4 linked regions of the Diceros bicornis minor genome follow. The protein of the gene in region 1 purifies or fractionates together with the protein of each later gene. This does not show direct contact. Links are inferred from orthologs where the notes say so. Each region holds a gene or a part of one and is shown in the gene's direction. Other genes may lie near its edges. The genes, in order: CEP290, CCP110, PNMA2 and CEP97.

Evidence for each region.
Region 2: the proteins of CEP290 (region 1) and CCP110 purify together in Homo sapiens (co-immunoprecipitation; 6 studies listed by BioGRID and IntAct, with this or other methods). This does not show direct contact. The link is inferred for Diceros bicornis minor from reciprocal best matches to the Homo sapiens genes CEP290 and CCP110.
Region 3: the proteins of CEP290 (region 1) and PNMA2 purify together in Homo sapiens (co-immunoprecipitation; 3 studies listed by BioGRID and IntAct, with this or other methods). This does not show direct contact. The link is inferred for Diceros bicornis minor from reciprocal best matches to the Homo sapiens genes CEP290 and PNMA2.
Region 4: the proteins of CEP290 (region 1) and CEP97 purify together in Homo sapiens (co-immunoprecipitation; 4 studies listed by BioGRID and IntAct, with this or other methods). This does not show direct contact. The link is inferred for Diceros bicornis minor from reciprocal best matches to the Homo sapiens genes CEP290 and CEP97.

Annotation. Positions count from the first base shown.
Region 1 is NC_080764.1:32,999,006-33,006,125, forward strand, and holds the start of CEP290 (centrosomal protein of 290 kDa), read left to right. Parts: upstream 1-4,118; 5' UTR 4,119-4,592; intron 4,593-4,888; 5' UTR 4,889-4,913; coding exon 4,914-5,015; intron 5,016-5,166; coding exon 5,167-5,244; intron 5,245-6,331; coding exon 6,332-6,401; intron 6,402-6,702; coding exon 6,703-6,749; intron 6,750-7,120. UniProt on the Homo sapiens protein: Involved in early and late steps in cilia formation. Its association with CCP110 is required for inhibition of primary cilia formation by CCP110.
Region 2 is NC_080765.1:32,861,363-32,868,919, reverse strand, and holds the start of CCP110 (centriolar coiled-coil protein of 110 kDa), read left to right. Parts: upstream 1-4,538; 5' UTR 4,539-4,720; intron 4,721-5,617; 5' UTR 5,618-5,648; intron 5,649-6,302; 5' UTR 6,303-6,457; intron 6,458-6,467; exon of another isoform or gene 6,468-6,615; intron 6,616-7,557. Other genes in the region: GDE1 (glycerophosphodiester phosphodiesterase 1), read right to left, coding at 2,622-2,882.
Region 3 is NC_080750.1:67,421,721-67,428,843, forward strand, and holds the start of PNMA2 (paraneoplastic antigen Ma2), read left to right. Parts: upstream 1-4,121; 5' UTR 4,122-4,203; intron 4,204-6,037; exon of another isoform or gene 6,038-6,093; intron 6,094-6,702; 5' UTR 6,703-6,828; intron 6,829-7,123. Other genes in the region: DPYSL2 (dihydropyrimidinase-related protein 2), read right to left, coding at 3,357-3,710.
Region 4 is NC_080754.1:6,188,904-6,196,656, forward strand, and holds the start of CEP97 (centrosomal protein of 97 kDa), read left to right. Parts: upstream 1-4,741; 5' UTR 4,742-4,824; intron 4,825-7,753. Other genes in the region: RPL24 (large ribosomal subunit protein eL24), read right to left, coding at 582-645, 1,069-1,205, 3,606-3,716, 4,296-4,371, 4,495-4,499. UniProt on the Homo sapiens protein: Acts as a key negative regulator of ciliogenesis in collaboration with CCP110 by capping the mother centriole thereby preventing cilia formation. Required for recruitment of CCP110 to the centrosome.

The DNA of each region.
Region 1 (7,120 bases):
CTTTTCGTGTGTCTGTTGGCCATCTGTATATCTTCTTTGGAGAAATGTCTGTTCCGGTCTTTTGCCCATTTTTTAATCGGGTTGTTAGTTTTTTTGTTGTTGAGATGCATGAGTTCTTTATATATTTTGGAGATTAACCCCTTATCTGATGTATGGTTTGCAAGTATCTTCTCCCAATTGTTAGGTTGTCTTTTCGTTTAGTTGATGGTTTCTTTTGCTGTGCAGAAGCTTTCTAGTTTGATGTAGTCCCATTTATTTATTTTTTCTATAGTTTCTCTTGCCCAGTCAGACATGGTGCTTGAAAATATGTTGCTAAGACCAATGTCCAAGAGCGTACTGCCTATGTTTTCTTCTAGAAGTTTCATAGTTTCAGGTCTTACATTTAAGTCTTTAATCCATTTTGAGTTAATTTTTGTGTATGGTGTAAGGTAACGGTCTACTTTCATTTTTTTGCATGTGGCTATCCAGTTTTCCCAACACCATTTGTTGAAGAGACTTTTTTTTCTCCATTGTATGTTCTTGGCTCCTTTGTCAAAGATTAGCTGTCCATAGATGTGTGGGTTTATTTCTGGGCTTTCAATTCTATTCCATTGATCTGTGTGTCTGTTTTTGTGCCAGTACCATGCTGTTTCGGTTACTATAGCTTTGTAGTATATCTTGAAATCAGGGAGTGTGATACCTCCAGCTTTGTTCTTTTTTCTCAGGATTCCTTTAGCTATTCAGGGTCTTTTGTTGTTCCATATAAATTTTAGGATTCTTTGTTCTATTTCTGTGAAAAATGTTGTTGGAACTTTGATAGGGATTGCGTTGAATCTATAGATTGCTTTAGGAAGTATGGACATCTTAACTACGTTAATTCTTCCAATCCGAGAGCACGGAATATCTTTCCATTTGTGTCTTTTTCAATTTCTTTCAGCAATGTTTTATAATTTTTGGTGTACAGATCTTCCATCTCTTTGGTTAAATTTATTCCCAGGTATTTTATTCATTTTGTTGCAATTGTAAATAGGACTGTATTCTTAATTTCTCTTTCTGCTACTTCGTTGTTAGTGTATAGAAATGCAACTGATTTTTGTATGTTGATTTTGTATCCTGCAACTTTACCGTAGAATATGATAATATTTAATATACATAGCAAGACCGAAGAACAAGCACTTTACAGGCATGCAGGTGCCCTGCATGCCTGAGGCGGCAGTATAGCAGTTAAGAACATGGCCTCTAGCCAGAAAGATCCGTGTTCAAACACACTCTTTAAGCTTGAGGAGAGTATTTAAACTCTCCAAGCCTCAGTTTGTTAACTTCACTGGAAAATGAGGACATTATTAGCACCTATTTCATTGTATTGTTATGAAGAGCAAATGAAACAATGACAAAGCTGTAGTAATCAAAATAGTATAGTACTGGCATAAAAACAAACACATAGAACAATGGAACAGAAGAGAGAGCCTAGAAACAAACAAAGGAACCAAGAATATACAACAGGGAAAGGATAGTCTTTTTAATAAATGATGTTGGGAAAACTGAAGAGCCATCTGCAAAAGAATGAAATTGGACCCTATCTTACACTACTCACAAAAATCAACTCAAAATGGATTAAAGACTTGAATGTAAAACCTGAAACCATAAAACTCCTAGAAGAAAACATAGGCAGTAAGCTCCTTGACATCAGTCTTGACTACACCAAACTAAAAAGTTTCTGCACAGCAAAAGAAATCCAACAAAAGGAAAAGACAACTTATGGAATGGGAAAAAACATTTGCAAAAATATACTTGTTAAGGGATTAATATCCCAAATATATAAAGAACTCATACAGCTTAATAGCAAAAAAAACAATCTTATTAAAAAGTCGGTAGAGGAACTTCTTCCAAAGACATACAGGCCAACAGGTACATGAAAAGGTGCTCAACATCATGAGCAACTAATCATCAGGAAAATGCAAACGAAAACTACAATGAGATGTCACCTCACACCTGTTAGAATGGCTGTCTTCAAAAAGACAAGAGATGACAGGTCTTGGCAAGGATGTGGAGAAAAGGGAACCCTTGTGCACTGCTGGTGGGAATGTAAGTTGGTAGACCAACTATGGAAAATAGTACAGAGGTTTCTCAAAAAATTAAAAACAGAACTACCATATTATCCAGCAACTCCACTTCCGTGTATACAGCCAAGGAAACAAAATCACTATCCGGAAGAGATATCTGCACCTTCATATTTATTGCAGCATTATTTACACTAGCCAAGCCATGGAAACAACCCAAGTGTCCACCAGAGGACAAACAAATCAAGAAAATGTGGTATATATACACAATGGAATGCTAGTCATAAAAAAGGAAATCTTGCCATTTTCCACAACATGGATGGACCTTGAGGGCATTACGCTAAGTGAAATAAGTCAACAGAGAAAGAAAATACTGTATGATCTCACTTATATGTGTAATCTAAAAAAACCAAGCTCACAGAAACAAAGAACTTATTGGTCAAAAGGCACAAACTTCCATAGGCCAGCCCAGTCGCATAGTGATTAAGTTCTCACACTCCACTTCGGCAGCCCAGGGTTCCTGGGTTTGGACCTACACACCACTCATCAAGCCATGTTGTGGCGGCGTTCCACATACAAAATAGAGAAAGATTGTCACAGATGTTTGCTCAGGGACAATCTTCCTCAAGCAAAAAGAGGAACAATGGCAACAGATGTTAGCTCAGGACCAATCTTCCTCACCAAAAAGAATAAAAAAAAAAACGGTACGAACTTCCAATCATATGATTAAGTTCTGGGGATATAATTACACCATGGTTAAAAAAAACGATAATGAATAGTACTGGGCATATTATCTTTCAGTAATGATTAGACAAAATTATCATTCCTACAAATCTGATGAATGTCTAAATATATCTCACAACATCAGTACCTGTTTTTATTTTCTATTGAGGTATTCCTACTGAGCTGTTACCCAAACATGTGGTTTGGAAAGAAATCTAGTATTTATTTTCAAAAGGAAAATTTATTATCAATTATAGTAAAAAAAAAAAAAAAAAGATAAAGATGAGAGGCACTGGTCCAAACAGTTGAAAATGTCATTTAGATTTCAAGTCTATAGCTTAAGTTACCTAGCGGCGTATCATACTCCAGAATGAGAGCAGTGGGATAAGCAAAACTTGCACAAATAAGAGCTGTAAACACCTGAGAAGGCGCTTTCATAGAAGAGCACCCTCGGTAACCAAGCAAGTGACAGCTGCAGGACTGGTGGGTACTGAAGCCCCTTCTCTCTCCACCCCCAGCAGTGGCCCCGACAAGTTCTAACCTCTCCTCTCTAGAGCCTTCACTCTAGACACACAGCTCCTCAACCTTCAAGTCCTTCCACCCGCGACGGTGATGGCGCTACAGGCAAGGCGGGCGGGGTCGGAGGATGCACTGCCCTCCTCTCAATTCCTCACTCGCCCCCAAACTATGATCTCGGCCGCGCGGCCCCCACTCCACTGTACACAGACAGGTTCTGATACCAAAGAGGGGTAAAACTTTTCTGTCTTCTTACAGAGGACACCCCCCGGGGCGTCGCTTGCAAAGGCCTAAGCAGAAGGCGGGGTCTTCCCACCTCTCCATTCTCGGGCCAGGCCCTTCCGCCCCGATGGCGGGAGCGTCTCCAAATCAGGACCGCTCCCCTCAACTCCTCCCCCGCCGCTGACCGACAGCTCGACCTCACCTGGGAGCGGCTCCACGAGAGGACGGCTCAGGGAAACCTCAAGAAGAGCGGTCCAGAGAACGACGCCACCGCAGGCACACTCATGGTCTACCTCGTTCACAGCAGACGCGCCTCAGCCACCGCGCCTCCGCCACCGCGCCTCCCGCCGCCGGCTGGTTCCCCCGCCGCCCCGGTACGGTCGCAGCCTCTCGCATTGCACGCCGGGAACGGCCTACCTCCACTTCTCATTGACTTCAGTTCCCAGGATGCACAAGCCTCCAAGCAGAACTGCACTCTGGGATTTGGAGTCCTCATCCCCAAGACTTCTCCTTGTCCTTTTCACAGAGTCCGGGAAACCCGCTGGGGAATCTAAACGTAAAGCATCACCCATAGTCGTGAAATGTAGGCTCCCTGGCATCCGGGGCCTTGTTCCAGCCTTGGCTGGGTGGGGAATGGTGTCGCCTAGCAGCCGCCGCCGCTATTCCTCGCTCAGGACCAGTTGGCGGGAGCCAGTGTCCGGTTGGCACTGCGCTGGGGAGCGGTCAGGCGTGGCGGCGGGGCCGTGCTTGGTGGGTGCGGTAGATGAAGGGCCGCCTCTGGTTGCCAGGTTTGGCTTAGGTGCCTGGATCCTAGTGAGCATGAGCAGCGGCTGTCTTCTTACGCGGGTTCTTTAAGCTTCAGGGCCCATCTGCAGCAAAGCCCCGCTTCCCCGCCTCTTAGCCTTTTTGGTCAGCAATCCATCTGCCTTCTCCTCGCTTCAGCCCTGGTTTCCCCGGCCCAATTGCACTCATTTCAATCGTTTATTTCCTCACTTTTTTACGCCCAGTTCCTGCTTCTCCGAATCAGGGGTCGGTTTCAGCCTGCCGAGCACCTCCGCGGTTGGCACCATTAGATGTTCGCGTGCCTTGGTGGTAAGGGGGCATGAAGGAGGGGACTCAGAATCTTAGTTCTGACCAAGATTAGTTTTAACAAAGAAGCCGTCGTAGTTTGTTTAGCCGATACAATATCTGATGGTTTGTGCCAACTGCTATACTTGTGATCAAGGTTATTTTACCCGCTTATCTGTTATACAATTAAGGAGGCATAGCTCTTTGCTGACACCATAGAGAGTTAGAACAATGTAATGTGTAAAAACTGTAAATTGCTGTGAAAACATTAATGCTGTTTACCTTGAAAATGCTAATACCCACCTACCTTGTTACCGCAGGTAAAGCACAGTGAAAGAATTCAAGATGCCACCTAATATAAACTGGAAAGAAATAATAAAAGTTGATCCAGATGACCTGCCTCGTCAAGAAGAATTGGCAGATAATTTATTGATTTCCTTATCCAAGGTGCTTAATTGATAAATAATATGTAAATATATACATACAACTATGATTCATCCAAGTTGTCCCTTTAATCACTGAGTGGTACAATTGGAAGAGTTCTTATATTTTGCTTAAGTGTTATAAATATATAATAGTTGTTTTTCTGTTTACTTAGGTGGAAGTAAATGAGCTAAAAAAAGAAAGTCAAGAAAATGTGATACACCTTTTCAGAATTACTCAGTCACTAATGAAGGTTTGTATGCAGTAGGTTTTAATAACAGCTTTGACTATTAGAGAAGGTTTAAGAATCTGTTACTTACTTAAGTAACTTAAGTAAGTTAATTTCTATAAAAGTACTTTGTAATATCTAAATCACCACTAAAAAATGAGGTATTTTCAAATGTGGATTGAGAATTTTAGTGTGCAAAACATGGCTAGTTTCTGCTCTAAAGTTCCTAAAAGAATATGTGAGGGAAACAGATGGATATGTTTAAAAATAACATAGGGAGGTCCTATGTTAATTAAGTTAACATAATCCTGAGGTAGAAGTGAAAAATGCAGACGATTATTATAGGGATTTATTAGGAGGGGAAGAGATTTAGATGTGAGAAGACCTCATGAAGGTTAAAGACTGATGAGTAGTTTTAGGTAAGTGGAAAGCAGTGGTAAAATATTAAGGAGATTCTAGAGCTGGAGGTTACCATAAATAAAAACTGGAAATAGAAAATGTGTATTCTTTCCATTTGAGGAGACAAGTGCAGACACTTTGTGGCAGGCTGTAGAGGAAACAAATGTTGCCTCTACGGAGGCTGTCAAAGGCCTTGCAGGTGTATTTTACGCTGTCAGCAATGAGGAGCCATTACAAGTTTTTGAGCCACGCTTGATAGGTACAAAAATATGCCTTGGGAAGGCTAAACTAGGTATGGTAAACTAAACTATGGAGGGTAAACTAGGCTAAATAGGACAAATTGAAGGAAATTAAAGCTGTTTAGCCATAATGTTATAAAGGAGGTTAGACAAAAAATTATGGACTAGAAGAATCACAAGTAGAATAGAAAAAAAGGGATAGTGGAAAACATTACAAAGAGCAAAGTGGCAATACTGGATATAAGACTTGAGGGAAAAAGAAGAATCAAAGATGTTTCAAACTGTTAGGAATCTAAAAATTATAGCCTTAAGTAAGAAAATCATCTATTCATTCAACAGCTATTTACTGAATGTCTGTGTATGCCCGGCATTCTGAGCGCTAAGTTTTGGGATAGCAAATAAAATCCTGTTTTGGGTGCTTACATTCTAGTGTAAAGGCGTATTGAAATAAATTTTGTGTTTTTAATGTTTAGATGAAAGCTCAAGAAGTAGAGCTGGCTTTGGAAGAGGTTGAAAAAGCTGGAGAAGAGCAAGCAAAATTTGGTAAGTGCTATGGAAAGTTAATTATGATGCTAAATAGTGGATTCCATTTGTTCTCTAAGCAACAGAGAATTAGCTTTAATACATTCTATAAAATGTGTAGACTCAATTTATTTTGAAAGATATTCTAGAACTCCTATTCCATAGATCAGGTATAAGATAGTTATTTTCTCTTCTATTACCTTATTATTACAATCATGATGGAATCTTTAAAAAGAATTTATTTTATTATTTTATTGAAATTTATTTAGAAGTTTGTCTTGAGATAAATTGACCAATTGAAACATTTGTCTTTTTTTAATAGAAAATCAATTAAAAACTAAAGTAATGAAACTGGAAAATGAACTAGAGGTATGTCCTTTTGTATTCCCTAGGGTGTAGTTGTTCATTTTATTATTTTGAATTATTATTTTCAAATTTTTCTATTATTATTATTGGAATAATCACAAGAATGATACTGTGTTCATAATTATTTGTTTGTTCAGTATATATTTTACCTGTCTGTTATGTACCTTAAATTCTACTAAGGATTGAGCATCCAATTGTGAACAAAATGAAAACATTCAATAACCTCATGGAGCTTACAGTCTAGAGAGATACACAGAAGGATTACTAGTAACTGAGGTAGAATGAGGCATGTGGGAATTTGAGGAATGGTGACAGAAGGGTATGGGAGAAGTAGCAGCTTTTGAGAAAGCTAAGAGCCAAAATATAAATGTATT
Region 2 (7,557 bases), on another chromosome or scaffold:
CACTATAATTAGGTTCAATTATACTTTTATTCATTAGGGCCATCCTTATTTGGCTACAACACAAAAAGTAACAATGGTGAGACTATTTTAGCAAGTGAACTAGAACTAATGAGTTCATTTATTTGTCTTTTCTGTGTAGTTTATTAAGGCCCCAAACAAAAGCTCTATAAAACAACCACCATATTAATTTCTTAGACCAGATCTTCTATGACTGCATTCAACTTTCTTTACCAGTTATAGAGGCAAAAAGATGAACCTGATTCTAATTCACATGTTAGTATACACTTCATACTCATCTTTTTATTTATTTAGAGAAATGTCTTACAATAGTATTTTTGGGGGGAACACACCTTACCTCTTTCAAGTGTTTCCTTATATATCTATTTTATAATCTATCAGAAATTCTACCACTGTCAGAACGTCTTCCCTGAGTTTTCACGGAGTAAAACTTTTTTTTTTTTTCAAATGTTTAAGGATATAAATTATGAGCTGTAAACATGTAAAGGGAGGAAGAATAGGACAAAAAACAAACTTTGATGGAAATAAACTACAAATTTGAAGTCAAGCGGGAGGATGCGACCTTGTCTTCTGCAGTCTGTATTCAGAATCTAAATTCTATTACAGCTAAAAAGTTCACTGATAATGACCCGATATTCGAACAAGGTGAATTACCACATCTCATTTCCTCTTAAGACCAGTAATCAACTTGGCACGATGTTTATTTATGATTATTACACACATTAAAGACATGCTCAACCTAAGCATACAAGGCATGAATGGAATTTAGCTATAATTCTCTTGCAACACGAGGGGATATGAAACACTCTATGTGTATGTGTATTTCACATACATACTTCCTCGTTTAACATGACTTATATTCACTCAAACATATTCCTAGCCAAACTACCATACCCATCGGTAAATACTTATGAATACCTTCTGTGCTCAATTAACAATGAGTTATACTTTAAGGCAATTTACACAAGGTAAGTAGAAATGGAAGCCAACGACAATTATGTGCTTTTTTTCCTATGGTAATTATCATCTTTCTTTGCATGACAGTTCTATCTCCTGTGTAGCTAGCTGTGTTACTTCATGCAACCTCTCTGGGTTTAGGTTTAGAAGGTAAAATACACTCTTCAATATCTTTAGATTTATTTTTAAACAGAAGGCTAGAAGAGCTGCTCTGTCTCCCTTCCATCACAAAGAACCAAAGGGAAAAAGCATAAGAGAAGTTTAACTGGGTTTATAAACGGTCAGGTGCCCTCTGCTCAATTAAAGCTGCCTTCCTGACTCCCTTCTTTCTTCAGACTTAAATTTTTCCCTTAACACTTAAATTTTACCTAAACGATTTTAAACAATCAAGCCATCTTTAGATTCTTGGCCTAAAGAGCTTACATTTGTGGAGGTCTTATCATGGGCCACACACTTTATGTGGACTACCTCATTGAATCACAACCTATTAGGCGGATATCAATATTATTCCCATTTTACGGATGGGGAAACTGAGGTCACGGCTGGGACTAGAGTGAGAAGTGCCCTAGGGTGCCGCGCTTCCCACACCCTAGTCATGACTCTTGACTGGGACACTGACAGCTTAAGTAACTTGCTCATTACACAACACTGTCTGTCCCTAGCAGGACACATGACAGTCAGTCCAAGTTTTTACATCCCAGGACATATTCTAATCTATGACAAAGAGCATTGAGGCTTGGAATCAGAAGGTTGAATTCTAGAAAGAGCTGTGGTTTGAGCAGCTTTCCTACTCATTCAATGTTAAAATGTCTCAAAGAAATGAGAGGATCAGATATATTTCTACAGATGCAAAAGTGGCTAGGCAACTGAAAAGCTCTCTTACTATGCGAACGGTCATTTTCATGTCAGGAGACTGCCAGGAGAGCCTTGTGACAAGGGGAGGCAGAAACTGATTAGAGTCCCAATGCCAGGATTGTCTGAGGATGAATGTGTGTGTCTGGGGGGAAGGTGATAAGGAGATGACCTGGCTAGTTTGGAGGACAAGCAAAGACAGCTCTTGTGAATGTGATCCACTTAGAATAAACTCAACCACTGACCAAGACTCTACTTAACCTGGCCACATTTCCTACCTCATTCACTAGCCTTTGCTCTGTTCCTTGAAGTCAAGCCACATATGCTTATTCTGTTATCTGAACATTCCAACATCATTCCCACCTCAGGACCTTTGCACTTGCTGCTCCCTTTTTCTGGAACACTTTTCCCCCAGATCCACAGCCGGCTCCTTCTCGCAATCTTGGTTTCAGTTCAAAAGTCACTTCTTCTGAGGATTTCGCTGACTATCTGGAAATAGCATTAACTGCTTTCCCCAGTCATCCCTCATTCCATTACTCTATTTCTTCATTGCACTTTCGCTTGCGCAGTGCTTGGCACATAGCAAATATGTAAGTATGTGAGTATTTGCTATGTTCTATAAATACTCGAAGTCGGGAGATTTTCCAGACTTCAGAGGGATCGAGAGCCACAGGAACGTATTTCTTGAGGACGAATGGGGAACCGGGAAGGCTATCACGCGAAGCCTGGGGAATCTGCGGAAGGACAAGCAGAAGTCCAGCTCCCCGGAGGGGCGCGAGGCGTGGGGGGCTCACCTGCCGAATGGCCGCCAGCGTGTTCTCGGGGGCGTCGTGGCCGCCGCCGCGGTGGGCGATGGCGGAGACGCGGTTCCGCGGCTTGAGCACCTGCAGGGCCCTGCGGGAGGGCACCGGGTCGAAGCTGAAGAGGCGCAGCAGGAGGTAGAGGCTGCCGGTCAGGAGGCAGGCATTGAAGGGGCTGCGCGTCACCAGCAGCAGCAGCAGCAGCAGGAAGGAGAAGGGGCCCAGGAGGCCCCCCTGCTCCTCCCACAGCCACATGCCGGCGCCCGCACCGGCACGGACGGGAGTCCCGGGCCCGCCGGGCTCCCCGGACAGGAGAACCAGAAGCGGGAGCGAGAGCTCAAGGCACCGGCCGCAGCTGACACCCTCCGAGGGGCCGAGCGCCGCACAATGGCGGCGGCGGCCGCAGCGGGAGAAGGAGCCGGCCGTCCAGCCAATCAGGGCCGGGGAGCGCCAGCTCTCGGGGGCGGAGCCGCTGCCATGGCAACGCAGGCGGGCCCCGGCCCCAGGCTCGCGTTCCAAAGTGGTTTTGGATTATTCCGGGGTGGGGCCTTCAACCAGGGCTTTCAGACTCGAGAAGGGGAGGGATGCAAGACCCATTGTACGGTTGCAGGACTTGGAGGGACCTTAGTGACCCCTTCATTCCGCCTTCGAGGAAACTGCCCGGGGAGCCTTGAAGGAGCACAACGCTCAGACTATTTATGTATTCAATTCAAGATGTGCCAAACACCAGTCCAGGTGCTTGGACACGGCAGTGAACAGGACCTGCACGGTCCCTGCTCTCGTGGGGGAAAATAATAGTGTTAGGGAGCACGCCAACATTTATAGAGCACTTACCGTATTCCAGGTTCTGTGCTAGCGAATATTTTATGCGTTATCTCGTTTATTCTCACAACAGCCTCAGTGGGTAGGTCTTATCTCAGGAGTGAATGAATTCAGTCGACTTTAGAAGGATTTTTCAGATTCTGAGGGAACGAAAGAGCATAGCAAAGCAGGTACAATCGGATTATAAAGCTGGAAGGGATTTTAATGATTCCCTCGTTTTATAGATGAGGAAACTGAGGCCAGGAGAGGTGAAGAGAGTTGAGCAGTTAATGGCAGCGTCAGGACTGACTCAAGCCACTCCAGTTTTAGGCCAGGTGACTTTTTTTTGCACTGCTACTCATCCTCGTAACCTTACTTGTCCTTCTACTATGGGCTAATAGTAGGGCTTATGCACCAGGCACTGTGCAAGAATATCTCAGTTGTTCCTCACAGCCACCCTTGTGATAGGCACTTTTAAAACTTTCATTTTATATATGCAAGTATAGGCACGGGAAGCAGGGTCAGTAAAAGAGGCAAACGGTAAAGCCGAGTTAGCAAATGAAAGCGGCTGCTGCATTGTATTTTGGAAAGCTGGTAACATGTTGTTTAGATAGAGAACTCTGGTAAAACATTCGGGGCTTTTTGGGCCATCTTGAATCTGTTACCTTTCTTGGACGTTTTTCCCACTGATTTGCGAAAGGGTCAGGGATGTCTTAAGGCTTTGAGTTGGCATTCTAGGATTCAGCAATATTTTATTTACAGAGAAAAAATTTCGGTGAATGTTGTATCTTTTCCAACGACCACACAGAATGAGGTTATATCTGTACGGATAAGTGAAAAATAGCAACTTCAAGGAACATTTCAGGCGGCTTCAGACCTGGGGCGTTCCCATATAATAAATTTTACCTGCAGAGGCCTCAGCTCGTAGTGAAGACTACGTTTCCCAGCGTGCACCGCGCTGCCCGTAAGTACTACTCCCTTCATCACTGGGCCAGGGCGCGTACCCAGGCGCGCAATGCACCTCGGGGATTGTAGTTTTCTGGAGGCCCAACGGTTCCAACAGCCCGGGAAGCAACCGCCGGAAGTGGCGGTGGGGAGAGGTGGAGTCCGAGCAGCGGCGGCGGCGGTTGCCAGGAGCCCGCGTTGCCGCCTGAGACCCGTAATATGGCGGGGAGGAGGAGGAGAAGGCGGCGGCGGACCGAGCTGCTCTCTGTCTGTACCGATTGAGCCGTTGGCTTCCTCACAAGGCCCGGGGCGAGGGGAGAAAACCTGCCCGGGCCGTGGGAGATCAGGTGTGTGCGTGAGGAGCGGGCTCGATCCTCAGCCGGTCCCGGCTCCGAGGCCACGGGCAAGGCGGCATTGGCGCCCTGAGAGCTGAGGGCGGGCTCTGGACAGCCCGAGCGCGGGTGCTGGGCCCCCGGGCTTCGAGACCCTGGAAGGGCGCCGGGTGTCGAAAGGTGGGTGCCCGGGCGCGGAGGTGATGCTCGGATGCTGACACCGCCTGGTGGGCCCTCGGGATGGAGCCTTCCAGAGGAGCTGGGGGAGGTGGGCGTGGGGCGCTGGGGCAGAGGATCCCCTGTAAATAAACTCGGGCCAGAGCCGGGGACCACCTCCTGTTGCTCAAACAGTGTGGGGCGTTTTTCTTCTACGATGCTGGCGAGGGAGGCGTCCCCGGGGTGAGCACTGGACATTTCTGAAGGCCGGTGACCACAACCAGAGGCCCCAGGAGCGCTGTTTACTCTGCCTCTGCGCCTCTCTGGGGCATAAACATGAGGATAATAAAGCAAGTTCTCTTGATTGCCCCTGATGCTGCTAGGTGGTTCCCACCCTTTGCTTCTGTCTGGTTGTCATTCCAGTTCCCTATCCCCAGTTTAGGCAAATGGCAGGCGCCTAGAGATTGATTTAATGGGGAGCGGTCTGGAAACAGCGAAGGGAGGAAGCCGTTGACCCCCTTTCCGTGTTTTTAAGTTATATTTGAATTTTGCCAGGAACCAAGCACTGTCGCTGCCCTCCAGGAGTTCATAATCTAGTGATAAAAATCCTCCTCCTCCTCTTCATAACCAAAGCGGCCCCATTTATTGATGCTCTCTGCATGTCCTGCAATATAGTAATTGCCACGCGTGTATTAATTCATCGAATCCTCATAGAATCTCTTTGAGACAGATACTCAGATTATTCCTATTTTACAGATAAGGAGACCGTATAGACTGCATAGAGATGGTAAGTGAATTGCCAAGAACATACAGCTAGTGTGGGCCTGAATAAGAAACTTTCCCCTTTATTACCTCTATAAGACGTTTATGTCTTTGGGAAGACTGATGGGTAAACAACCAGCTAGGATCTGAAAACAAGGCCAGATCTGTTCTGTGCTACTTTTACCATTCCCTTCAGTGACATCTCTGGGAGAGCACTGCTGAGGAGCAGGTAGCAGGACCATGAGTTTGCGGGGTTTGCAAAGAGGCTCATTTGGAGAAGTCATGGTATAAATGGAGAAATGAGACATGTCTGAACTTGATGCAGCTGACAAATTATTAATTCAAGTGGACCAGTAATGCCTGGTGGTAAAGTATGGGGCAGTAGATTTGTGCTTGGCGTGGCCTTGTAGTCGGGGCTCCCTTAAAATAAAACCCTGCTGACAGAGGTAATTGTGGTGTGAGAGACGAAGTGCCTTAATATAGGATACGGACGCTCACTTTTTAAACGGTTGCCTTTGCAGTTTAGAGGTACCGGCTTCTCTGAGAATAGGGTCATCCATGAAACTCCATTCTCTCAATTCCCTTCTTCCTTGCTAGCTTCTTTGCTATGTAGTCCACTCTCTTTTTTCTCCCGGTTTTCGTTATTGTTTGAGCTAATTACCCTAATTCATTTATTCAGCGCTTTTATCAAATGCCGACTGTGTGCTGACAGTGTTCTGTGTGATGGGGCTTCAGTGGTGAGCAAGACTGAGAAAGTACCTGTGCTTATGGAGCTTACGTTTTGGTGGAGGAAGACAGGCGAAAACCAAGGAAATAAGATAATTTCAGATAGTGGTAAGTGCTATGAAAATTGGAAAACAGCAGGGCAATGTGATAGTGACTGTCACAGGGTTAATTTAGATGGGCTCGTCGGCGACACCCTCTCCGAGGAGGCGACATCCAAGCTGAGACTGAAATATAAGAAGGATCCAGTCACGCTCTGGGATCATTTGGTAATTTCCGTAATCACCTTATTGGCGCTTGTATTTGGGTGGTGAATGCATTATCATATGCTATAAATTATGCTGTAATAATAATCTCTTACTGTGGATCTGCAATACGTCTGACATACATGTACTGTTAAAGGGATATGAATTTAACTTTCTAAAGCATGAGGCATATATCTTCATGATGTTGCTGAAAGAAAAATAGAACTATTGCCATAAAGATATTTTATTTCCTTAAATTTCTCAGACCTTTAAAATAGAATTTCATGTTTGCTTGTGTATCCATACGAAGAATATTACATTAATTGTATGAGTCAGCTATTTATGTTCTCTGTAATGCTGGATGCATGGGCTGTGGTAAAAAATATTTTGAAGTATTTTAGCAGAAATGGGGTCATTTGAATTTCTCTTACATCTTAGCTTCTGCGTATTTTGGTTGTTAAGATATAATGTGGGTTGAAATCCAGACTGACAAATGGGGCCTTGCTATGGTTATCGTGCAGTAAGGTGTTATGTTTGTTTTTTACTTTTGTTTGTTTTATCAATATTGGTTTGCAGAATAATCTCATACTCTAGAGAACCATTTCTTTGAAATTAAACTCTCACTTGGAGTAAATTTAATATAGAAATAATTAGAATGGATGAGATGGTAGGAAGAAGTTTTGTTATTAATAAAACTAGCTGTTGGTCAAAATTAGCAATACATCTTATTTTTTCATAATCTAATCATAATTTTGAAAATGCTTTTTCTTCATTTCTAATTGCACTATAATTTGTCCCTGACACCTTAGTGTACTGAATTTGTAAGTACTTTGAGGTTTAGGACAGTATCATATTGTATCTTCATCTTTGCATATTTCACATCATGAATTGAATTTCTCTACCCTTTCTTTTTTTTGTTAATTAGTTAATTGTTTTAAGATGAACACTATTTATGGTATCTTAAAG
Region 3 (7,123 bases), on another chromosome or scaffold:
ATGGGAGAGGGAAGGGCAAAGGGGAAGAGAGTGATTTCAGAACTCATTGCTTTCGGAGGAAAGAGGATCTAGAAGGGGCATCAGCATCAGGATGGCATAGGAGTGGCACTGAACAGTAGGAGGGCAGCAGAGTCACTGGGCATCCAGGGCTGGGAGATTATCAACATGGGGAGAGGAGACGGGGACGCAGAATGGAAGGGAATGTCAGAAAGCATTTTACAGACCCAGTGATTCTGTCAAGTTCAGCAGACTGGTGTATAGCTCACTCACTGGCACCTGCCCTGGAGAAGTGGAGAATCACTCCTCTGCCACTCAAGTCCATGGAGGCTTTTGCTGCTGGGAGAAGGGCCTAGGAGCCCCTTGGGAAGGGATGCTCATGCTCCAGTATCCCTGGCTAAACAGCTGGTTCTGGCTAAACTGTGTCTGAGGTGGAATGCAGGGAATTCCTAAGAGGAAAGGAGGAGGCTAAGGGAGCCCTGGGCACTGGCAAGAGAGAATTTGGCCAACAATATTGCCCTTCTGCCCTCTATTCCAAGAGGCTCAGAGTCTTTCACAGGTCATAATCAATTTAACCTCATTGCAGCCCAAGGTAGACTTCCCCAAGGACACAAAGGAAAAGAGAGTAATGAGATAGAAGCTTTCCTCATTCACAATCACACCACTGCCTGTTTCCTTTCACCAAAACCTGACATCCCAGCCAAAGCCACGCCCATTGCTTTCTGGTGCTGACCTGCTCACAACAGAAGCATATTTCACTTAGTTCCTGCAAATGCAGACACTCAACCTCTCCTCACCTCCCACAAGTCATGCAGCACCTGGGCTAAGGAAGTCTGTTCCCTCCTTTCTCAAAGCCTTGCTAGAGGAACAGCAGGTGCCCTAGTGCGACAGGTGGGCAAAGCCACTTCTGACAACACATTAACAAGACCTATAAAGACAGATTCGGGGGAGGAGGGAGGGCATGAGACAGGGGCCCTGGGATCCACTCACTCTAGTTCTCCCCACCTCTCTCTGTGCCAGGGCTTCTGACAGGAACGCACTGAGATGCTGCCAGTCACCCCGCTCATTAGCTGAAAACTAAGTAACGGCTACTCAATTCAGTCAAAATGGTGGGCCCAGCTGTGCTTTTGGAAATCACCATTGATACACACACACACACCTCAAATGCCTTTTCTCTCTCATATAGACATGAAATATTCAAACACTGTGAGCACTGATCCTGGTAAATGTTCTTAGTCATGAATGAAAAAAATCCCATAGGAACAGCCGTTACGTGTTAAGGCAAAATTGAAAATGAAAATCCAGGACTGCAGAAAGACCAAGCCAGGATTACTCTCTGTTACTGATAAGCTGGCAACTGAAGCAAATGTAGGTTTGCGGAGGCTAATTCGGCCCAGGGTTTTGGTTGGGTATTTCCTCTTCAAATCTCCCCCTCCATGCTCCCTAGGTTTACAATTTAGAATTTCTAATAAATCTGGGGCGTGTTCAAACAAGCAGCATCTAAGCTTCTAAATGGACAGGAAAAGAGAGGTGTTATTTAACCCAGTGAAATTTTGCCTTTCAAATTTGAGTTTTAATTCACTGCCATCATTACAGGGGTGGCCGCTCTCAACTTCTGCCCCCTGACCTGCCATTTTTTTAAATGATCTCTTCCTTATCTCAAGGCATTTTTCTCCTCCCTTGAGGACATCTGAATTACCAGCACAACTTATTGAAGATGAGGTTATGTTATTAGAAACTTTTACTTAAATTGTCTGATCACTTGGAACAAAGCGAGGTTTTTAGACTTCGGTTCTTCTGGCTGCTTCATAGTGACACATGCACATCAGATACCCTCCTATATGAATAAACCAGAGGACAGGGCTCGGGGAGGAGGAATCAATTAAGTGATGTGTTGTCCCACCTTTTGAAAATGACAGCAAATGTCTTATCTTTCCTAGCATTGGTCCTTTAAGAGTCAAAAGCTCCAAAACTCTATGCCATATCAGGAAACAGTAACATGCTCAGGCCATTATCAGCAACTCATAATTGTTCTCACTGTAAGCACACAACCTGAATGCCAAATAAATGCTGTGGAATCACTCGGTGAATATGTATAGACCACTCCCAACTAGTCTGGAAGCCTCTTAAGAAGAAAGCACCTTGAACTTTTAATAGCTAACCATCCCCCTGCCCCACAAGGGAAGGCACACAATAGGTCTCCAATAAATAATCAATCATTGACTGATTTCTCATCTTCTCCAATGGGCATGGGAGAGAAACAGCAAACAAGTGTTAAAACATTCCACACTGTAACTGATCAGTAGAGAAAATAAGGCTGTGAAAAAAATTGCACAAGTATGAAGGTCACCCTGATAAAAAAAAACGTGGTGCAAGAAGACTACTGCACTTAAAATGCACACTATACATATTTGCGAGAGATGACAACACTTTCTAAAATCAAGGTTTACCAAATCGGTCTTCTTTGTTCCCCCATTGACACAGTGTAGGGATCTAATCCATCTCTGACAATCTATTCAAAATGTGAGGGGTTTTCCCCTTTTCTTTTCTTTTTACCCTTTGAACATAATCCACTCAGTCCCCATCCCCAACGTGCTTCCCCAGCAGCGGCGGGGGGACCGCTCTGGGAAGCCCTTGCTAGGGTACTCAGCGAACTTTGTTCTCCACATGGCTATTGAGGAGCGTCTCGGTTTCCTCGCGTGACTCCACCGCCTCCCTCGTTCTTCTCACACTGCGAACAGGAGTCAAGGGTGGTGCGATTCTGCGAGGCGGTCCGGGGAGGCGCTGGCCATGGTGCTGGCCTCTGAGCTCGGGACGCGAGCGCGGAGGGCGCGGGAGGAGGTGCGGTGGGTGAACGCGCAGGGCGCGGTGGGGAGCGGCCATCGAAGCCCCCGCCCCTCCCGACCCCCGGGGAGCCCGCGGGCCTGCACGCGAACTCTCCGCCGCTCGCTCCGAGCTGCATCAAAAAAGGGTGGGGCATCCAGCCACAGCTGCAATCGGAAGCCGCCCGGCCGGATTTAAGAATGGACGGCGGCCCATCCCCCCCGACCATGCGACCCCCTAGCCGGGGATCGGCCCATCCTTTACCCCCACGCGCTACTGCCCAGGCCCGGGGAGGCGCCGGCAGCCTTTGTGGGCGCACAGCCGCCCACCGCCGAGCCCGAGCCTCTCCGCACCCTGCACGGAGAAGGGGCGGGTAGGGTGGGGTGCGTGTGCAGATGCGGGGAGGCAATGTTCGAGGAGGGGCAGGACGGTGGGCACGCTGAGATCCTCGTTCTTCACCGAGCTGGAAGGAGGCGAGGGAGGGGCGACCCCCGCGCCCGGTCCTCCGTTTCAAACACCCCTCCCCCCATACCAACCTGGTCGTTGATGTTCTGCAGGGCTTCCTTGCCCGAGGCCCGCCGGATCTCCACCTTCCGGCTCGATTCAACAGATGGCTCCCCGCCGGCGCGCCGGCCCTGCCGGGAGTACGGAGGCTGCGGGTCCGGGCCCAGGTGGGCGACGTCCCGCTGCTGAGCCACCACCTGCCCCGAGCCCCGGCCCACCGACAGCGAGTCGAAGTCGATGGTCTTGTTCTCCGAGGACCCTTCCACGGGGCAGAACATGCCACAGAATTTCTGCCGGGGCTTGGGGCTGCCTGAGCCCAGGTTTTTAAAAAAGGCAGGGACCTCTTCGTCCTCCGCCGCCTTCCCGGATTGCTTCCTCTCGGCCATGGCGCGGGGGCTCGAGGAGGGTCCTCTCTGTCGGTCCGTCCGTCTGCTGGTCCCTAAGTCTGCCTCTCCCTGTGCACAAACCCCCTGGCTGCTGCCGCGGCTACCGCTCTGCGCCTACCGCAAGGTGTACAGAAAGGAAGGAGGGCTGGCGAACGGGCGGCCCACCGCTCCCGGTCCCTCCCCCTGACCCCGCTTTCTCCCCTCCCTGCCCACGCCTCCCCCCGCCGCGCGAGCTCCGGCGAGCGGCAAAGTTGGGTCTGGGCGGGTGGCCGCTGCGGCAGCGGGAGCGGAGAGGCTGCCAGTTCCCGGCAGCGGCGGGAGGAGGGAGGCGCGGGCGGGGCGGGGGCGGGGCGCGGCGCCGGGAGAGGAGCCGAGCGCAGCGGAGGGAGGGAGCGCCGCGCCGCTGGGAGCCCCGCGCTCCGGAAGTGAAGTGGCCAGACCACCGGCTAATGGATGCGGAGCGGAGGGCCCGCCGACCGCTCCCGGCTCCACCGTAAGTATGGAGCAGGGCACGCGGCGGCGAAGACCTGAGGGCGCAGCCCCTGGCTCCCGCGCCCCTCTTCCCCGCCTGCCCGGCCCAGGCGTCTCTCCCCACCACATTGCGGAGATGGGCCAAGGGCTGTGGCCCACCGTGGGGAGGGTTTCATCACCCAGGATGTGAGCTGATGGATGGGGAAAGAGGGACAAACTGACAGGCGTCAGGATACCCGGGGGGAGGGGAAGGGGCGGCACTGAGGATGGGGAAGGGATGGCGCAGGCGGCGCAGAAAGGTAGGGGCCATACGAGGCGCTGGACACCAAAGCCTTAGTTTACACACGGCCCTTGGTGGGCTGCTGGGAGCAGAGATTGAAACGAGAAGGTTCTCACTTTGTGCATCCACGGTGGTGGGAGAGGCACAGCATGGCGGGGAGAAATGCAGAGGGGCGTAGCAAACGGTGGGGAGCGGATAGAGAGAGACATAGGTCTACGGTCCGTGAGAGTGTAGCAGAGTCCAGTCCAGCACGGCAACTTATGTATTGCCCCAGGCGCCATGCACCAGTAACTGCGCCACTGCGCCAAGTAGAGCACAGGAGAAGGTCTTCATTTGGTATCTCCCGCCCCCGCCCAAAGTGGGGGAAAGCCGCAGATTAAAGCCCACTCCCCAAATCTCCAGTCCTTCTCCGGCGCCCCGGGCGCCCCGCCTCGTCCCCACCCCGCCCTGCTGCGCACTGCGCCAGAGCCGCGGGGTTTCCCAGGTGGCCAGACGCCGCGTGCCTGAGGCGTAAGTGCGTGCGCGTCCAGTGGCGGGTAGGAGATGGGGTGCTGGCTGTGATTGAGTGTCTTGGATTGTGTGAGGCCAACCTGGGGAAAGGTGTGTGGGGACTTGGTGTGTATGTACGGATAGACTAGCCACAGCCACAGGGCATCCAGGGGGGTATTTTGATTTGTGCCAGTAACACGGTCTCTGAGGGTCCTTCACGGCTTACTCCCGTCCCCACGTCCTTTCCGTGTATCAGTCTCTACCTCTGGTCGATTACAGCCCCGCCCCTCTTTCCACAGTGTCAAAATCCTGCAAAAATGATGCCCATCCTTTGGCGGCTCGAGAGAGAGGTCTGGGCATGCTCAGTAACCAGGGTGGGTTTGGGCTAAGAGGCTGTTTACCGCAGGACCGTAGCGAGGGGCAGTGTGACCAAGTATTCGGTCCCGTTGTCAGCCCTTGCCCCTAGAAGCATTAAATGCGGATACCCACCCCCTAGTTGTGAGGGATAGTTTGGTGAATGGAGTTAAATTTAGAGGACCACCACTCACAGTTTGGTGAGGAGCCCACCATGCTAGGTGGGCAGGAGTCCCCGGATGAGAAGGGGAGAAGGGGGAAGGAGAGGAATGTGCGTGTGGAGGGGCTGAGAGAACCAGGGGCAGGCTTTCGGACTTAGCACCAGATGTGCTTAGCATTTGAATAAAGTGCTTCTACGTGAATTACATCATTTCCTCCTCAAAGCAGCCCAGGGAGAAGAGTGCTTTCCTTCCAGGGCAGGAAGCTGAGGTGTAGAGCTATTGAGGAGCTTTGCCCAAGGTCACTATCTAGTTAAATGGCGCAACAATTACAGTGAAGTCTTCCACCTGAAAGTCTGGTTTCTTTTCCAACTTATCCTGTCTTTATGTGAGAAAATACAAGATTTTCACATTTTTTCCATATCCAAATATTTCCATACGGGTCATCCCGTATCTAAGAAGAGGAAAGTGAGGTACGGAAGAGTCATCGAGCTCAGATCCCTGGGCCTGCTGGGGAGGGCGTGACCCACCATTTTGCCCTCTGGCCCTCTGGCATGCGCCGCCTTCAGCACCTTCCGGGAAGACTCGGGAAATGTGCCTGCAGCAGGAGCAGCTGCCGCCATAACTGCAGGTTGGCATCTGTGGCATATGGACCCCATTAGGACTGATGGAGATTTTCAGGCCTGGGGAAGAACGGTGGTGGTTCCTAACACACACTCCACACCAGTAACTGGGACACGTTAGGAGCTCTTCCCTTTTCACAATACCCAGTCTCCACCCCCTCGCCACAGATGTGCTTCCTCTCTTTTCCTTTTTCCTCAAATGACCCGTTCAAGTTCAAATGCTATGAAGAAAGTGTCGTGTTAATAACTTACCATTCATAGCAAAAGAAACATCTTAATTTTGCTTTTGCAAAGCCTGACCAGACATAGCAAAAGAGAATTAATTCATAATTCTGAGTTTATTTGGCCCTGAGGTTTTTTAAATTGTTATACTTCTATTAGGTTGTAATACCTATATTATTATGTCATATTAAAGTATATTTTATAAATTATATTATTATGCCTATATTAAATTGTTTTTAAATATTTGAATGATTTCTAAAAGAAATGAAGCAACTCAATTTAGTAGATTTAATTAAGTTTTGAAGGATTGCCATATTTTTGAATAAGTGCATTAACAGTCTTCATCACTGGATATTATCAAGCCATAAAAATACACTATTATTTATGTATAACAGGGCAACTTGGCTTGGCTGGAGCTAAGATCCAGACACGCTGTTGTGTGGACTTGGGTGACATCTTCCTGTGCTAGAAGCTGAATAAGCTCCTTGACTCTCATGGAACATTCTGGAACGCATAAACAGGTATCTCACCACATTTCCTGATTTCATTATTCATGTGGGAAAAATCTTGAGTCCTGTCCACAACTGGGGCTCAGATATTAATCAGCACTTCTGATGAGCGTGCGGTGGGGAAGCTAGGTTGCAGGAGGGTCCCCAAGAGAAAAAAAAAATGTCACTGTAGGCAAAGAAGAGATCTGACAGAGTGGGATAGACACAAGTACAATGTCTCCCCGGGTCTCCCTCCACCTCCATCCCTAACTGGAGTACAGATGCTCCCTGGGAAGGAGAGGGCTGGTAAAACTGACCGTTCTCTCAT
Region 4 (7,753 bases), on another chromosome or scaffold:
TTGCTTTCCTGATTATTTAACTACATTCCTATTATTCTTAAGAACCCCCTAAAAATTACAAGTCCACCTTTATATAAAATATAAATGAAAGACAAAGATATTGTCACAGATTGGAGGAGTTAAGGAGACACAACTAAATGCAACGTAGGATCCTGAATTGTATCCTAAGAACAGAAAAAGGACATCGATTTTATTAGTTGTATAGGACCAATGTTAATTTTCTGGTTTTGAAAATTTTACTATGGTTATCTCAATTGATAACATTGAGAAAAGCTGGGTAAACTCTGCACTGTTACTGAAAAGCTTTCTGTAAATCTAAAATTATCTCAAAATAAACTTTAAAAAACAAAAGCCACTTTTACTTTCCCCTTTCCCAATTTCTAACACTAACAGCCTCATTTGACTCTGGTAGAGGGAGCTCTCTGGAGATCTGAATCACTTACCCAGAAACCAGTTATGAACATTATTTCCATTTGCACTAAATTCTTTAAAAACTTGAAACTTTCATTTACTATAATTGGGATTAAAAATAAATTTTCCTTTTGTTTTAAATAAGAAATCCAAGACAAGCCCACAATTACCTTAGCAGCAGCCATTGCTGTCTTTTTAGATGCTTGTTTAGCCTTTTTTGCTTCCTTGGCAGCCCTGGGGGGTTAAAAATAACTTAAGACAAAGCACTTTACTCCTTAAGGGTACAACCTATTAAAAAAGAGCTAGAGTGTTTTGGGAAAGTAAAATTATCATATTCCTTCCCCATCTCCAATAATTTATAGGATAAAGCCAAAGGGTTTGTCAATAAATGGCATTGACCCCTGAGTCAGCTTAACATACATTAAAAATTGTATAATAGCTTTAACTGCATATAGAATTTTAACAAATCATTTAGTTTAGACTGTATTATAAACTTCTGTATTATTAGACCTAAATATTTATGACTGACAATCCCTATATAGATCTAAGTACCAAAACCACAAAATAACATCAGATTGGATTTCTGTGTCTATAAACCCAAACATAATCTAAAATCCACCCCAAGAGCTGAAATGCTCATAATGAAGGCTTCCTCACCTGATAGCTTGTTCTCGTTGAGCCTTCCTAACTTCAGGTTTCTGATTCCTCTTGGCCATTATATCAGCAAGAGATGCACCAGTGATGGCCCTCTGGAATTTGACTGCACGGCGGGTTCTTTTCTTTTGAATTTCTTCCTACAAAACAAATAGATGGGAAGCACACTTATGAACACTGCTTCATGAATTTGGGGGAGGAATTAAGTCTTTAAGGCAGGGGAAATGAGTCTTTTAAGATCCACATTTGTCTTACTCTGTTAGGCTGCTATAACAAAATACCAGGCTGAACAGCTTGTAAACAGAAATTTATTTCTCAGTTCTGGAGGCTGGAAGTCAAGATACCAGCATGGTCAGGTGAGGACCCTCTTCCCATCGTAGCTGTATCATCACATGTCCAAAGTTTGCAAGAGAGCTCTCTCTGTGGCTTCTTTTTATCAGGGCATTAACCCCATTCCTGAGGGCTCGTTCCTCTGACTTCATCACCTCCCAAAAGTCCCACACCTCCCAATACCATCACCTTGGGGGTTAAGTTTTAACATATTAATTGGGGGGGGGGGGGACATTCAGACCATAATAATATTCAACCAGAAATAATTCATGCAATTATTTGAAATGAAATAACTATATAAAGATATATCCATATGTAAAATACCACAATACGCAGATAAGTTTTCCAATTATGGACTGGTTAAATCATCTATTACAAATTCTGGCCATTTTTTACTATTTTAAAAACACAAAAAGTTTAAGGAAGTTAACTGGACAGTACTTGAAAAGAGATTTTAATAAGACTGTTTACGTTAAAGAATTTACTTTTGGAAAAAAATTATCAAACCTCAACTCACATAATTTGTTTTTATTCAAAGTACTGTCACTGGGAGAATTAGTCAAGTTAGAAAATGATTTATGACAGGAAAGCCACCAAGTGTTAGAGAATGTCCGGGAATCAAGACAGAGAACAATTCAAACATTTGCTGCAGATTCTATATTGGAAATCTATACCACAGTGCTTAACAATAAACAAGATCCTGCAGTGCACCTCTAAGTCCAAGAAAAATTAAAATATACTTGAAGAACTGTTTATTAAGGCAGGGATATGCCAAATATCTTAAAAATTTTTTAACAATATATGGATAAAACAGGACATTTGTGATTAAAATGCTTGTTTTAAATTTTTTACCAAGATGAAATCTTATTGTAGGAAATGCCAATATTTACCTGTTAGTTTTTCTTATCTTAAATCCATTTTTAAAGTATTTTTCTTATTGTGGTAAAATATACATAAGTTGACCATTTTAAAGCATTTTTAAATGTATAACTCAGTGGCATTAAGTACATTCACAATGTTGTGCAACCACCACCATTATCCACCTCCAGAACTTTTTCATCATCCCAAACTCTCTGCACCTATTAAATATTAGCTTCCCATTCCTCCCTCCCCCCAGCCCCTAGTAACCTCTACTTTGTCTTTAGGAACTTGCCTACTCTAGGTACTTCACAAAAATGAAATCACACAATATGTCCTTTTCTATCTGGCTTATTTCACTTAGCATAATGTCTTCAGAGTTCATCCATGCTGGCTGGCTGTCAGCTTTCTAAGGCTGGATAATGTTCCACTGTATGTATATACCGCATTTTGTTAGCCATCCACTGATGGGACGTTTGGGTTGTTCTCACCTCTTGGCTACTGTGAATAATAGTGCTATGAACATCAGTGTACAAGTTATCTGTGAGTCCCTGCTTATAATTCTCTTGGATGTATACCAAGAAGTGGAATTGCTGGATCATATGATGATAATTCTGTTTAACTTTTTGAGACGCCAAGCCATTTTCCTCTGTGCCTGCACCATCTTACATGCAGCAATGCACAAGGGTTCTAATTTCTCCATATCTTCACCAATACTTGTCATTTCCCCCACTTAATGGCCATCCTAATGGGTGTGTCAAGTCCACTTTTTAATTAAATTAGAAATAAATTTCTCCTTTTTCTGAACTCTAACAATATCTAGTAATGTCTTTCGCCCAGGAGGTGCTCACTAAACATTCCAAGTTTCCTGAATACTTGAGTGTCATGGCACTCAAATCTTTCTTCAAAAATCTCCTTCACCAAGCTAAAAGAGCACTTCAAAAAACACATCCAGTCTTCTTGAGAACGAAGTGGTATGCTGGAAGACTCCACTGATATCTGTTAGGACTAATCCTATAAACATTATGATCAAAACCATAAATAACTACTTAGTTTCCACCCCCTGTAACACCTTGAACACTTCCATGGTGCTCTATAACCCAACGGTGCTTAATGTAATGTCTGACTCCAGCAAGGGGATGCTTCCAAATCTCAACTCTCTTTACTGTGGCCCTAAGATGCATAAGGAAACCCTGGATCAATCATTTTCACTTCGTGTTCAATGCTCTACGGCCTAAGAGCACCTTCACGTACTGTCTCATTTAATCACAATTTTACGGAGCAGCAACTGATGCTCAGAAGTTAAACAACTTAAGGGATAGCCCCTCAACGGCAAAGTGCACTTCACTTACCGACTGCCCCTTTTTGTGCTTCCTTCTGTAGAGGACAGTCCAGTTTATCTGCCGAGGATTCCTCTTGGAAAGGAATGCCGACTCGCATTTTGCATTAAGAAACTGGAAAACCTGTCGTGACAAGTTCAAAGTAGTTACTCAACTATACAAAGCACGAGAGACTGAACTTGAAATCCTTAGCGAATTAGTATTCTAGCGCTATCGTCTCTTTTTACGAAATTCAGGCCACCGGGACCGAAGGGTTTGTGTCACCAAGTGGCAGGTGACTGAGCGGCACCACGAAGGTCTCCGCGTTTGGTCCCGTCGTCTCTCGCGAGCAGGCAGGCTGACCTCAGCCCGTACCGCGGGCGGGGGGGCGCGGCGGCAAATCCTGGGAGGCGTCTAGCTTCCGTCTCTCCCGGGATTCCAGCAGGACCTGGGCCCGTTAAGTGGCCAGACACCTCGGTGGCCCACCTCCCTTATCCCGGGCCACTGAAGTTACACTCCGCAATGCGGACCTGACTCACACCACATCAAGGCTCAAGAATGGTTCACTTAAAGGCTTCCGGTCCTCACGACCACTGCACGCAGGGGCCCCGAAGCAAGGCTTCCAGAGACAAGAGCGACGAGAGAAATGGACCCGCCTAGACGAAGTGGCCCGCTCTCCCCCCTCAGCATTACGCGCGGCGTGGAGCCGACGCGGCCTCTCACCTTCCCGTCCGTCCTGGCGTAGCGCCGCCCGTGTCCGGGGTAGATCTTGTAGCCGCTGAAGCTGCACAGCTCGACCCTGGAACGAAAAGCGAAAGCCCATTAGGGAGGGTGGCCACGGCAAGGAGAGGCCATGCCCGGGACGCCGAAGAGGCGCGCTGCCCGAAGATGGAGGCGGATAGGATCCAGGACTCCCCCTTACTTCATGGCTGCAGCCGCCGGGAAGAAGGAAAAATGGCGAAGAGAAAGAGAGGATCATGGGAAGGGACCTTATAACGTCGTGGGGGCAATCTCCTCCCCCAATGCCCTTCGCTGGCCCCGGCGCTCGACGATGACGTCACTCTCGCCGGCGACGCGCGAGGTCTTCCCCGCGGCCGCCTGCCTCGGGAGGAGCTCGCCGAAGACGGCGGAGGCTCCGGGGTGACGGTCACACAGGCCGCGCCGGCGGGTGTCTGAGGCGTTCTCTCTCCTGCGGCCAAACGTCCTAGAGCCGTGGTCCCGCTGCAGGGATCGTGAACTCGCCCTCCTCTCGGTTAGTGACCCACAGACCGGTACCCCGCGGGTGGAACTTAAAGTCACATTTTGCCTTCTGTGTTGGCCCATTTTCTCAACCAGCAAAATTAAATTTTAATAGTTTTACGATTTGCAAAAAAAGGCAGTGAGACCTGAATTGTCTCCCAGGCCGTGCGAATCGAATTGTGCATGGTGGCGCTTTGCAGTGATGGTAATTAACATTCATTGGGTGCTCTCTCTACTGGGAGTTACGCTACAGCACTTACTACATTTCTTCGTTCAGTTTACGGAATCGCTACTAAGTAAGCCCCGAGGCACGACTGCCGGCCGGGGAAGAGGCGGGCTGCCTCCTGTCGGAGCCCAGGGGCCAGTGGCTGCGCGAAGCGCAGAGCTCCCCCGGAGGCCTGGAAAAGGGAGCTCCGTCCAGGCCCCCCGGGAGGGCAAGGCCTCAATCTCTTGAGCCCTTCTGTGATGCTAGGTACTTCAGCAGATGATGGGGGTGGCAAGAGGCAACCCTTGAAATGTGTGGGAGGCTGGAGTACTGGACTAGGAAACAGAACTGTAATGATTGATTTATGCTGTCCATATAAGCATCTCACCCTAAAAGGGTTCCACGGCAGCTGGTTGAAGAGACCTGGAACGTCCAACGAGGTGACTGATTAATGTTAAGAAAGCTGTACAGTTATGCTGAAACCAGTCTCAAGAATGAGTTAACAGCGACTTGCATGGAATTGAAAAGCAAAGCAAAGAGGAGGAATTTGACAGCCTGACCAACTCTGACCAGCTGTTGAGCTGGTGTACTGGAAGACATTGTCTGAATTTGGGCAGTGGATTTCCTGGCATCAACTCGGACATTCATCCAACTCTTTCAAATAATGGCTGATTAAACAAATGTTTGATCACTAAAAAAACAAAATCTTTCTGGAATAGTCCTGTCTTGTACAGGCTCCCATGCACAGCTGGATGTGAGGAGAGGGTGGAGCCAAGATTTACCTGCAGAAATTTGGTCCTGCTTGCTCCATAGAACCCCAGAATTTATAGTCCCTTCCCAAGCCTTTTAGAAAGATTTTGTTTTATTGGTCTTCAAAATTATGTTTGGCCTGCCTAGCTCTGTGGAGGGAAAGCGGGAAACTAGGTCCCAGAGATTTCAGCTCTTTTCCTCTTTCCTGGAGGGCATTCTTGAGGTGGCATTTCAGGGTTCTTTGTAACACACTGCGTGTATCATGCCTTAAATTGTGCTCAACCCCTTTTAGAATAAGAAATTATACAGAAACCCCCAAAAGCATTTTATATAGTGTCGTAAAGCACAGTTTCCAACACTGTCCATAAATTTTTGCTGACTTTATCATTACATTCTCTTTTATAGAGACAAGGCTGGGCTGCATTCCATTTTCTTTTATTTATTTATGGAGCAATGCAGAACCAAAGTTGGTACTCTTCTCAGCCTCCATATACCTCCTGAGAACAGAGCATTCTTCACCTTTTATGCATACTCACCTGCTGTATTAGTTTCCTGTGGCTGTTGTAACAAATTACCACAAACTTGGTAGCGTAAAACATTGGACATGTATTCCATTTCAGTTCTGGAGGCCAGAAGTCTGAAATCAGAATCACCGGGCTGAAATCAAGGTCTCCAGGCTCCCACCAGAGGCTCTGGGGCGAAACATGTTCCTTGCTTTTCCAGTTCCTACCCAGGTAAACCCTCTTGAATTCCTAACCCATAGAAACTATGAGAGCATAAATGTTTGTTGTTTTAGACTACTATATTTTGGGGATAGTTTGTTAACATAGCAATAGATAATACAGGAGGTGAGGAAATTTTGAAAGTGGGGACTTAGTGAAGGGTTGTATGTATCATTTGTCAAAAGAGGACAGATAAGAGGAAGGAGCATGTTTGTGGGGGAGAGGGTCAGTTTTGGAAAGACTGAGTTCAAGATACCCATAGAACATTAAGCTGGAGGTGTGGAGTGGGAAGTTAAACAAGTTCAAAGGAGTGTTTGGAATGGGATATATTTTAGGAGTGATGAACCTATAGGTGATGGTAGAATATGTGGGATAACGACACCTAGTGTCACAGGTTTGCTTCTCTGGAAGCGCTTACTGAGACTGAATTTAGGGTGCAAGATACTTACTAGGGATCAAGTCCTGTGAAAGGAAGAGGGAGAAAGCAGTATTAGGCAGAAGAAGTTAAATCCATCACTGGCCCGACTAAACCTTAGTCAACCCTGCAGGAGCTCTGGAACGATTATTGCCTGTCAGAGTATCCCGTGTTGGGCCAAATGATCAACCCTCTTATGCTCCCACCTTGCTTACGCACCAGATATGAGTTGTCCCAGAGAGGTCACGACCTAAGTGAGATGGTTCTGAGCCAGACCCTACTTATAGCTGGAGCATGCTGCTGATCACTATGGCCATTGTTGGGCAGCATCCCTTGCTTGAAGAGGGATCTGGATAGTGCATCTCTCTTTACTACCCCTAGAGTGACTAGAGTGAGCCAGCAAAAAAGAATCAGGAAATACCAATATTTAAGGGATAGGGGAATGGAGGAAGAGAGAATTGACTGAAAGAGGCTGAGCAGATGAGGTCAAATGAAAGACACCCATGACAGTCATTTCACAGAAATTTTTGGAAGAGTTTTGACAGTGCTAAAATCCGTGTAAAGTTCAAGTAAGATGAGGACTGGAATGTGTAAATGTGAATGCCTTTGGAATGACTTAAGCACCATTCTTAGTGTTTTCTTCCAGTAGCATTTTCTTCTCAAGTATGGGAGGGATCCTGCCTTTTTAGAATCTACCACTGTAGTTTCCAGCAGGCTAGTTAATCCCAAGACTCTCAGGCATTGACTTCAGGGAGGGCTTGAAAGAAATGTCTAGTAACTAGGTTAGAAAATAACTAGGTTTAAAAATTATTCAGCATTAAAAATTATGAAGCTTTCTTTAAAATTATGA